Saccharomyces cerevisiae S288C: one gene and its partners. The protein of the gene in region 3 interacts with the protein of the main gene of each other region in a biochemical or structural test. Each region holds a gene or a part of one and is shown on either strand. Other genes may lie near its edges.

Region 1 (3,676 bases), on a different chromosome or scaffold from region 3:
TTCTAATTCCTACCTTAGCTAGTTGCAAAGTGGTGAAGTTACCTTTCTCCATCAATGCTTGAAAAGAGTCCAAAGTTGGGGCTGAAACTATTGTAGAATTTGGACTTACAAAAACTTCCGGTTTCTGAGTTGTGTTATCTAGGTAATTAAGATTTCCAGTCTTGTTGTGAAAAAAGCTAAATACATCTCTGTTATGGAGCAATTGCTTAACATGTTGCAATATATTTGTAGACATCAGTCAAACTTTTGAAAATCCCTACGTAATGACTGTTCCTGACAAATTGTAGCCTCTCGGTGACCTTCTGTCAAGTCAACCATTCCTTACATACATCATTTATATGCCAGAGGGCAGGGTAATGCAGACATACAAAAACTTTAATTTACCGCGCACCGCACCGCGCAATTTAAGATTATTGAGTCAAAATTAATGATGTATATTATATGATTTCTGTGGTGATAAATTTATTTGAGTTTATAATTATATTTGCTTAGGATTACTATTAAAAATTTTCATCTATAGCACGTTTTTGAGCGTCGTTTAGTGATATTGGATAGTCCACTTTATATTTTACAATCAAATTACCTCTCTGAGATGGGTTCTTTGGAGTTGGCATACCTTGACCAGGATAAGTAGAAGTTTGTGAGGGTTGGACAGGCTGTACTCTCGACAAAGGTAAGGTTCTGCCATCAATTGTTTGGATAGTTTTTGAAAAACCTAACAATGATTCCTTGAAAGATAGTGGCAGAGTGTAAATTAGGTCATCACCGTCTCTTTTAAAGTTTGGATGGCTCTTTTCCTGGATGACAAACTGCAAAGTCTTTCTACGGCCCGTTTGAGGATTGTAATCACCCTGGTTCTTGTATGTTATTTTGGTACCAGCTTTCCAACCCGGTTTTAATTGAATGTCAATTTGTGTCTTTTCAGAGGCCCCATGTGGGCCCTTTCTTCCAATTTTAAATGACTTCTTTTTACCAACAAACAAATCTTCTAGACTAACTGGTAAATTAACTTGAACTGTTTCTTCCTCTGGATACGTGGGAGAGCTTGATGCTGATCTAAAGCCGCCAGGCATACCTCCCATGCCGCCATGCATTCCTCCCATTCCTCCAGGCATACCTCCCATACCAGCACCGCCGCCAGATGGATAACTAGAGAAACTGAAGCCACTGTCATCAGCACCACCGAATGGGGAACTGCCGCCAAAGAATTGTGAAAAAATATTGAAAGCATCCTCATTACTGAACGCATGTCCTCCGGAGAATCCGCCCGCACCGCCAGGGAAGCCTCCAGCACCTCCAGCACCGCCAGGACCACCAGGACCAAAGCTTGGACCACCAGATCTAGCAGCCTCGAGACCGTATTGATCATATATTTCCCTTTTTTGAGGATCATTTAAAATTTCAAAGGCCTCTGATATCTCCTTAAACTTTTCTGTGTCACCTGTTGGCTTATCTGGATGATATTTTAGAGCTGCTTTTCTATAACCCTTTTTCAGTTCTTGCTCATTAGCACTTGGAGATACTCCAAGTAAATCATAAAGTTTTGTCTCCTTGACCATTATTAGTTCTGTATACTATACTCTATTATATTGATGTGAATGTATTAAAAAAAAAATCTTAAAATGCAAACAACTTATCCTTTATCCTCTGAAGAGTTTCTGGATGGTTATACAATTCTAAGTCGTTAAAAGAATTCGTGTAAGAGCTTAAATAATATTAATTAGAATTTTTGACAAGAAAGCGCATAAGTTTAAAAAGGGATTAACAATACGGTAAAGGGACGAGAAATCTATACAATATATATTAAATCTCGAACTACCTTGGCAAGGAGTTTGTGCTGACAGTGGTTGAAAAACCCGTAAAAGGATATCCCATTCTTTTTCCAGAAGTTTCTGGAACGTTCATATAAACCAAAGAGGGTAACACAATACGTTAAGATTCAGAAAAGTAACGACTAGCTATTACTGATCATGTTATAGAAGAGTGCGACAACCATATATTATTAGCGCAGCGATCAACGTGGCAGTCTTGTCATCCATATAAAAAAGGAGTTCTGATTGATGTCTGTTATCTTAGTATCTGCTGGCTATGACCACACAATAAGATTTTGGGAGGCTCTTACTGGGGTTTGTTCAAGAACAATTCAGCATTCCGACTCACAGGTTAATCGCTTAGAAATCACCAACGATAAAAAGTTGTTGGCAACAGCAGGCCATCAAAACGTACGGCTTTATGACATTCGGACGACAAATCCCAATCCAGTAGCATCCTTTGAGGGTCATCGGGGAAACGTTACCTCCGTTTCTTTTCAACAGGACAACAGATGGATGGTGACCTCTAGCGAAGATGGGACCATTAAAGTTTGGGATGTGCGTTCTCCGTCCATTCCTAGAAATTACAAACATAACGCACCAGTAAATGAAGTCGTAATTCATCCTAACCAAGGCGAGTTGATATCTTGTGATAGAGATGGTAATATAAGAATTTGGGACTTAGGAGAAAATCAGTGTACCCATCAATTGACACCTGAGGACGATACCTCTCTCCAGTCTTTATCTATGGCAAGTGATGGTTCGATGTTAGCGGCAGCAAATACTAAAGGTAATTGTTACGTATGGGAAATGCCAAATCATACTGACGCATCCCATCTAAAACCGGTAACAAAATTCAGAGCGCACTCCACATATATAACTAGAATTCTACTATCATCTGATGTAAAACATTTGGCAACATGTTCAGCGGATCACACTGCTCGTGTGTGGTCGATTGATGATGATTTTAAGCTAGAAACGACATTGGATGGCCACCAAAGGTGGGTTTGGGATTGCGCATTTAGTGCTGACAGTGCGTATCTAGTAACGGCATCGTCCGATCATTACGTGAGATTATGGGATTTATCAACTAGAGAAATTGTCAGACAGTACGGTGGACACCACAAGGGAGCTGTATGTGTCGCATTAAACGATGTATAGTTTACAATTTATCAACTACCAAGCTTGAAGGACCGAAGTGACAAAAAACATTATGATTTTCAGTGTTTGCTTATCCGCCTTTTTGTAAATATAGATTTTACTATCCTGTGCATTTTAGTTAATTGATTGTTCACAAAATGAAAGCAATCGCGATGCATATCATCAATGAAAGGAAGACGAGAATGTACAGTATAAACATATTCCCTTGCATGTAGCACTAAATTTTAAGTTTCGTGTAGACGAAAGGTTTAGCTACTTGCGCGACAAAATAGTAATATTTACAGGCATTCTTAAACATTTTATATGTGTACATACTGTGCGTAAGGAAAGAAAATCAAAGCTTGCTCAAAAAAGCCCGCCTACTTCTAGCAATGACTTCAACTTTATTTTTGGTGTAATCAAAACGTCTAGACACAATTGACTTCTTCCCGCTTTTGGTTTCAACCGTACTATCTGTTTCGGGGAAGACCGACTTTAAGTATTTCCTACGCAAATGTACTTCTTCAGATAAAGTCAAAAAATTACAAGCGTCCTTGAAAAGCGCCTTAATATAATTCTTGTCTTTTTTGGTTTCTAAGTGTTGGGATTTTTCTAGGTCCTCTAATAGTTTTGCCTTCAAAGCTTGTTTTTCTTGTTCCGAAATATACTGGTGTAGCTCTAGCTTGTTATTGAAAGATGTAGATGAGTTCAAAAGATCACTACAC
Region 2 (4,331 bases), on a different chromosome or scaffold from region 3:
TAATACTATGCTAGAAGAAGAAGTTAGAATGATATCAAGTAGTCTTTTGTTTATTTACGAAGGAGACCCGGAGCGATGGGAATTACTAAATGATGTTGACAAACTTATGCGAGATGATTTTATAGACGATGATGACGACGATGATGATAATGATGATGATGATGATGATGATGCCGAGGGAAGCAGCGAAGGACCAAAGGACAAAAAAACAACTGGTTCTTTGAGTTCCATGTCACTAATAGATTTTGCACATTCTGAAATAACGCCGGGGAAGGGTTATGATGAAAACGTGATTGAAGGAGTTGAAACCTTGCTAGATATTTTTATGAAATTCTAGATATATTGAGAGGTGAAGTTTACCTTGTTTATGGTATATGGTACAAAAAGAACTAAACTAATTATACGTCTATATATATATATATATATATAACAGCTTTATTAAACCTTGTTTTTTAATATAGAAGAAAATGCTTTATGATCGGTATTATTGTGTTTGCATTTACTTATGTTTGCAAGAAATTTACTCGGCAATTTTAACAATTTTACCAATTGCTATTGTGGTACCTTGATCTCTCAAAGTGAATCTACCTAATTGAGGGTAATCTTGGTAAGTTTCCACACAAACTGGAGCTTCAGTTTCTAAAACAGCGATGACCTTCATACCCTTCTTAGCAAAAGCAGGTGGTTTCTTTGACTTACGGTTGGTACCCTTTTCTAATTTGTGCAATAACTTAACAATATGTACCTCTTCAATTGCTGTATGAACATGCATAACACATGAAAAACCGGCTGCTATGATAGATTTTAATTCTACAATAGCAATTTGAGCTACAAACTTGGTAACACTCTTGATAGGGTTCTTTGGCGATGTTAGTACAAAACCTGGTGAAATGTCTTCTTCTTCAACACCTTTGATTCTTAGTTTAACTTGCTCACCACACATAGCCATATCAACTTCATTTTCAGTTTCGTTGTAAATATTTTGAATTTCCACAGCGGTTTTGTTAGGCATCAGTAGGGTGGATTGACCCTTTTTGATATGACCGGATTCAATTTTACCTTCAACGATGGTACCTAGATCCTTCATCTTAGCGGCAATAGGCAACATGAATGGAGCATTGATGTGACGGTCGACGTGGTTCATTGTATCCAGATATTCTAACAGAGTTGGGCCGGTGTACCATGGGCATTCTTTTGGATCTACGTGATCTTTCAAATTTGCACCACTGTAGCCGGATACTGGCATAAATACAACGTCTGTCTTAATGTTGTAACCAATTGCTCTCAAGAAATTGCTGACATTACTCACACATTGGTCGTAACGTTCCTTAGACCAGTTAACGGTTGGGTCATCCATCTTATTTACGACGACAACCATCTTATTAACACCTTGGGTCTTGGCCAATAGGGCGTGTTCACGAGTTTGACCACCTCTCTCAAAACCGGTTTCGTACTCACCCTTTCTGGCGGAAATGACCAAAACACCAACATCAGCTTGAGAAGCACCACCGATCATCTCGGAAACGTACATTTTATGACCAGGAGCATCCAATATGGTATAACGCCTTTTTTCAGTTTCAAAGTAGGCCTTACCAACTTCGATAGTCTTACCATCATTTCTTTCTTCTTTGTTGGTATCCATGACCCATGACAAGTACCAACCTTGTCTGCCTGCATCCTTGGCTTCTCTTTCATATTTCTCAATAGTTCTCTTATCCACAGAGCCAGTCAAGTATAGTAGATTACCACCCATAGTAGATTTACCGGCATCAACATGACCCATGAAAATTAAAGAAACGTGATCTTTACCACCAAACATATCGTTAACAACTTCGTCATCCACTTCTTCTTCCTGTTCCTTGATCAAGGCATCAGCACTGGTAACATTGGCATTGTTGGTATTATGTGTTGATTCAGAGATTTTAAGGTCTTCTACCTTTGGAAGTTCCGATTTTTCCTCCGTCTTTTCTTCAGTCTGGACTGGTTTCTCCTCCTTTTTAACTGGTTCTTCGACCTTTGTTGGCTCTTTAGTTGGTTCTTTGGTTTCAGCAGACTTCTCTTCCTCTTTCTTATCAGATTCGGCAGGTTTTGTGCCAACCTTCTTGGTAGCATTGGCCAACTTGATACCGGAACTGGAGACAAGCTTCAAAGTCTTCTTTGGTTTGGGAGCGGCCTGCTTTTGTTGCTTTTGAAAGTCGTTCAAAGACATACCTTGAGACTGTGGTTGGAAACCAGCTTGATATCCTTGCAAATTGTTATTGTAGTTGAAGTTTTTGTAATTTCCACGGCCACCTTGTGGATTGAATTGCTGCTGATAACCGCCTTGAGGATTGTACTGTTGATAGCCTCCTTGAGGATTATACTGTTGCTGGTAACCGGCGTCGGGATTGTACTGTTGATAGCCACCTTGTTGGTACCCAGAATAACCTTGGTAATTTTGGTAGTACCCACCTGCAGGTTGGGCTTGAGCATTGTAAGCTTGATAACCTTGGTATCTGTTGTTACCTTGTTGTTGGTTACCGTTCTGGCTGTATTGCTGGTAGTTTTGCTGATTGTTGCCTTGGTTTGAATCCGACATTGTTGCTAGTGGGCAGATATAGATGTTATTCCGAGCAAGTCGATGAAGAAACCGCTTTTTGTTACAGTACAATGGAGTCTTTCAAGAGAAGATGTACCAATATACACTACACTCTTCAGAAGCAATGGGAGCTTTGGTCGAGTGAAAAAAAAATTTTCTCCATAAAGAAAGATCATATTATACGATGATGTAAGATATAATACCCGGTTGTAATGTACATTTAAGAGCAAGGTAAGAAGTGACAATAACTTCTGTATGATCTTAGCATGTACCTCTTTTGGTGGGCTGAGAACTAAGATTCATCTTTTTGCGGAAGAATTTTGCTATGAACTTCACAACTTTATGAAGTGGTTTAAGAGAATTACAAAAGAAATGACACAGACTCGAACACTGTGACGCGTCGTCTTAGTAAAAAATAATAATTTGAGTCAAATAGCGCAGCTAATGCGAAACAAAGAAATGAAGCATATACCATTCGTTGTATGATTTTTGTGTGGTTGACAGATATTCTGCCGAAATTTTAACGCTTATTATAAATATAAATGTATGTATGTGTGTATAAACAGATACGATATTCAATTTTCTACCGTAGGGTTGGGATTTTCTTCAAACTCCAATTCTTCGTCGGGTATTTCCTCAATGGCGATCCTCTTTTTTGGCTTCGGCTTTTCAGTGTCATTGACAATTTTAGGCACCTTAATTTGTAGTAGACCGTTGTTGTAAGTAGCTTTAATTTCTTCGTCCTTAATGCGTGGCAGCACGGGGAATTTAACGGTTCTCTCAAACGCACCATATTTTAGTTCCGTGATCTTCAAGAATTTTTCATCAATGCCCACTCTGTCTTCGATCTTACCCTTGATGAGCATCTCATGAGAAGATGGATGGTAATCAATGTGGAAAGCCCTAGAGTTAGCACCTGGTAACGCAAGAACAACTACGTAAGTGTCCTCGGTATCATAGACATTCACTTCTGGTGAAAATGGTAAGTCCATTCTCGTTTCAGGCTTGGATACTTGTAACGGGTCAGGTATTGGGGAAGGCGCTTGTAGGTGAGCGAACGATGAAGATTTTTTGGCTAATGGTGGTCTCGACGATTCCTCCAGCTGATTCAAAGGTTTTTCTTTGTTGGTTTCGCCAGCTTCCTCTTTGGGTGCTTCAGACTTATCCTTCTTATCCTTTTCTTCTCCCTTTTCGCCCTCCTGTTCGGTATTTGCTTCAATTTCTGGTTCAGTGCCTTCATATGGTGGAACACCTATTAACGCGGTTAATAAGTCGTTTAAACTGTTTGCCTGTTGGTTGGTCCTATTATTCCTGGCAGTATTACAATGGTAATATGATGGATATCTTCTCGAGTTGCTGTCCTCGCCACCATCTTCCTGTCTTGTAGTGCCGCTGTCACCCACCATATCTTCGTCTTGGTCCTCTTCTTCACCATCCTCGTCATCATAACCGTATTCAGGACTATAGTAATAGGCTTGTCCAGGGAACTGGTAGTAATAGGTATTAGGAACACCATTGTATCTGCTATACAATGGATGATGACGAGGATGATGCCCGCCAACGTGCACTTGTCCATAATGGGGATGGTATCTCTGTGGCCTTTGTGGTTGGCGAGGATATCCTTGCTGCCCTCTCTGGCCAGTTTGGTTGGATAATGCGTTCAAAACGTCATAAAGAGATAGGGATGGTTGATAAAAACTCATTGCTTCGGCTTGGTATGATCTTAATTTGTGTGGGATATGGACAATTGCCT
Region 3 (3,494 bases):
GAAGATATGTAATTTGATGCTAAGGTAGTAGACATTGCGGCGACTGTCGTCAGCACAGTTGTTGTCGTCTGCATTATTGTTGCTACCATTTTGATTTTCAGAAACTTGATGGCTTATATCCTGCTCTTAAAGGAAAAAAGATAAAGGATGTCGTATCCAAATATTTTAAGAGCAACACATACCTTACAAAGCCACTCTTACATTGTCATTTAAATAAAACCAATCCCGAGAATTACGTTATTTGTTTCAAATTACAGACGTTTCATGTTTGTTTCATCATCGCACCAAAATGAGACAGCGCGAAAAGTGACAGTGCAATTATGCCATTCAATACGTCAAAAAGGGCATCCTGCAGAGATACAACTCTGTTTTGAAAGGGTCCACATGGTAAATATGGAAGCAAAAGAAGGATTGAGGCATCACTGACAACAAAATTGTCTTGCAGCCCAATTAATAAAAAAAAATAAAGTTATATATATAAACAAATACGTAAACAAAGGATAGAAGGCGAACTGAATCATCGTTCAGTAGCGGTTCTGGTTGCCGTTATTGTTCTGTTGAGAAAAGTTGCCAGAAAAATTGAAGGATTCGTGCTGTCCATTGGAGTTCTGGTTTCCGCCGTATTGCGGTCTTCCGTACTCATTGGATTGCTGTTGACCATTCTGTTGCGGTCTACCATACTCATTAGCCTGTTGCTGGCCCCCATAACTCGAATTTGAATTGGAGTTATTGCCCAGGTAGGAACTTGCCATGGAAGCCAAAGCTGAGAATGAACTGGAGTGGCCTTGTTGCTGCTGCTGACCCTGTTGTTGATGCTGATAGTTTTGGCCTTGTTGCTGGTATTGCTGCTGGTTGTTTTGGCCTTGTTGATTGTATTGCTGTTGGTTGGATTGAGTTTGTCCACCACCTAAGTAAGATTGAGCCATGGAGGCCAATGAGGAAAAAGCACCACCAGATTGTCCCTGTTGTTGTTGGTAACCACCGTTGCCACCTTGGTACTGTTGATTATTGTAACCTTGACTATTTTGGTTACCGTTTTGATAGGATTGGTTATAGCCCTGTTGACTATTGTTGGAGTTCTGATTATTATTGGAATGCATAAAAGAGCTTGCCATAGAAGCCAGTGCTCCAAAGGAGGAACCACCGGAGCTTTGATTTTGACCTTGCTGATTATTGTTGTTGGAATTCATGAAAGATGAAGCCAAAGACGCCAAAGCAGTAAAAGAACCTTGACCTTGACCTTGTCCTTGACCTTGACCTTGACCTTGACCTTGTCCCTGACCTTGGGAATTGTTACCTGACTTAAAGAATTGAGAAGCCAAGGCAGCCAGGCCGGAAGCACCCATACTTTGGCTCCCGCCGCCAGAACCACTTAGCATTGACATGACAGTCCCTACGTCAAACCCTCTGTTAGAAGAACCTTTATTTGATGAGTGTGTCATCACTGTGGCTAACAAAGCTAGTTTTCCTAGTTGCGTTTGGGAAGAACCCTTAGAGTCTGCCATTAAAGTGTTCATAAAAGATGAACCACCACCAGCAGCACGATCTTGCGAGGCGTCACTACCACCACTACGGTTGTCCATGACGTATCCTGCGATTTTTTGAATTAATGATTCAATAGTTGACATTTGCTCGTCATTGGGGTTCGACTGAGCTGCGGATGTCAACTTCGCAACAGCTTCTGCATGGTTTCCTTGAGAAAAATGAGACTCAGCCTCTGAGATTAACTTATCCGTATCCATTTCAGATCTTTGCTATACGTTTGTATCGCTATATGTACGTTCTTTTAATGAACTTTCTCCTTTCTTTATCGTGTAGCTTGCTTGGGTATCTTTTAATGAGTTGCGGACAGTGAGATTTTTCAGAAGGGCAATTGGCCAAGACACCAAAAACGTTTGGACGAGACAGGCATCAAAGGACAAGGTAAAAGGCGTTGAGCTGTGGCTGGCTGTGTATGCGTTTGAAATACCATGGATAGATATCAAAGAAAGATAGGATGTTTCATACAAATCCCAAATTTGGGGCGCGGACAACTGAAATACGTGGGTCCAGTGGACACGAAAGCTGGAATGTTTGCTGGTGTAGACTTACTTGCCAACATTGGTAAGAACGATGGATCATTCATGGGGAAGAAGTATTTTCAAACGGAGTATCCTCAAAGTGGACTATTTATTCAGTTGCAAAAAGTCGCATCATTGATCGAGAAGGCATCGATATCGCAAACCTCGAGAAGAACGACAATGGAACCGCTATCAATACCCAAAAACAGATCTATTGTGAGGCTCACTAACCAGTTCTCTCCCATGGATGATCCTAAATCCCCCACACCCATGAGAAGTTTCCGGATCACCAGTCGGCACAGCGGTAATCAACAGTCGATGGACCAGGAGGCATCGGATCACCATCAACAGCAAGAATTTGGTTACGATAACAGAGAAGACAGAATGGAGGTCGACTCTATCCTGTCATCAGACAGAAAGGCTAATCACAACACCACCAGCGATTGGAAACCGGACAATGGCCACATGAATGACCTCAATAGCAGCGAAGTTACAATTGAATTACGAGAAGCCCAATTGACCATCGAAAAGCTACAAAGGAAACAACTACACTACAAAAGGCTACTCGATGACCAAAGAATGGTCCTCGAAGAAGTGCAACCGACTTTTGATAGGTATGAAGCCACAATACAAGAAAGAGAGAAAGAGATAGACCATCTCAAGCAACAATTGGAGCTCGAACGCAGACAGCAAGCCAAACAAAAGCAGTTTTTTGACGCTGAGAATGAACAGCTACTTGCTGTCGTAAGCCAACTACACGAAGAGATCAAAGAAAACGAAGAGAGAAATCTTTCTCATAATCAACCCACTGGTGCCAACGAAGATGTCGAACTCCTGAAAAAACAGCTGGAACAATTACGCAACATAGAAGACCAATTTGAGTTACACAAGACAAAGTGGGCTAAAGAACGCGAACAATTGAAAATGCATAACGATTCGCTCAGTAAAGAATACCAAAATTTGAGCAAGGAACTATTTTTGACAAAACCACAAGATTCCTCATCGGAAGAGGTGGCATCCTTAACGAAAAAACTTGAAGAGGCTAATGAAAAAATCAAACAGTTGGAACAGGCTCAAGCACAAACAGCCGTGGAATCGTTGCCAATTTTCGACCCCCCTGCACCAGTCGATACCACGGCAGGAAGACAACAGTGGTGTGAGCATTGCGATACGATGGGTCATAATACAGCAGAATGCCCCCATCACAATCCTGACAACCAGCAGTTCTTCTAGGCAGTCGAACTGACTCTAATAGTGACTCCGGTAAATTAGTTAATTAATTGCTAAACCCATGCACAGTGACTCACGTTTTTTTATCAGTCATTCGATATAGAAGGTAAGAAAAGGATATGACTATGAACAGTAGTATACTGTGTATATAATAGATATGGAACGTTATATTCACCTCCGATGTGTGTTGTACATACATAAAAA

What was found.
Region 1: the proteins of RNQ1 (region 3) and SIS1 form a complex in vitro, tested with the Saccharomyces cerevisiae proteins (3 studies listed by BioGRID, with this or other methods).
Region 2: the proteins of RNQ1 (region 3) and SUP35 form a complex in vitro, tested with the Saccharomyces cerevisiae proteins (2 studies listed by BioGRID).

Annotation. Positions count from the first base shown.
Region 1 is NC_001146.8:618,007-621,682, forward strand, and holds SIS1 (type II HSP40 co-chaperone SIS1), read right to left. Parts: upstream 1,560-3,676; coding exon 501-1,559; downstream 1-500. Other genes in the region: putative ubiquitin-protein ligase ASI3, read right to left, coding at 1-235; TOR complex subunit LST8, read left to right, coding at 2,061-2,972; mitochondrial 54S ribosomal protein bL27m MRP7, read right to left, coding at 3,307-3,676. UniProt on the Saccharomyces cerevisiae protein: Required for nuclear migration during mitosis. It is required for the normal initiation of translation. Might mediate the dissociation of a specific protein complex of the translation machinery. Essential for viability.
Region 2 is NC_001136.10:806,571-810,901, reverse strand, and holds SUP35 (translation termination factor GTPase eRF3), read right to left. Parts: upstream 2,579-4,331; coding exon 521-2,578; downstream 1-520. Other genes in the region: ARG82 (inositol polyphosphate multikinase), read left to right, coding at 1-337; heat shock protein HSP42, read right to left, coding at 3,154-4,281. UniProt on the Saccharomyces cerevisiae protein: GTPase component of the eRF1-eRF3-GTP ternary complex, a ternary complex that mediates translation termination in response to the termination codons UAA, UAG and UGA.
Region 3 is NC_001135.5:68,398-71,891, reverse strand, and holds RNQ1 (prion domain-containing protein RNQ1), read right to left. Parts: upstream 1,743-3,494; coding exon 525-1,742; downstream 1-524. Other genes in the region: FUS1 (Fus1p), read right to left, coding at 1-89; BIK1 (Bik1p), read left to right, coding at 1,971-3,293.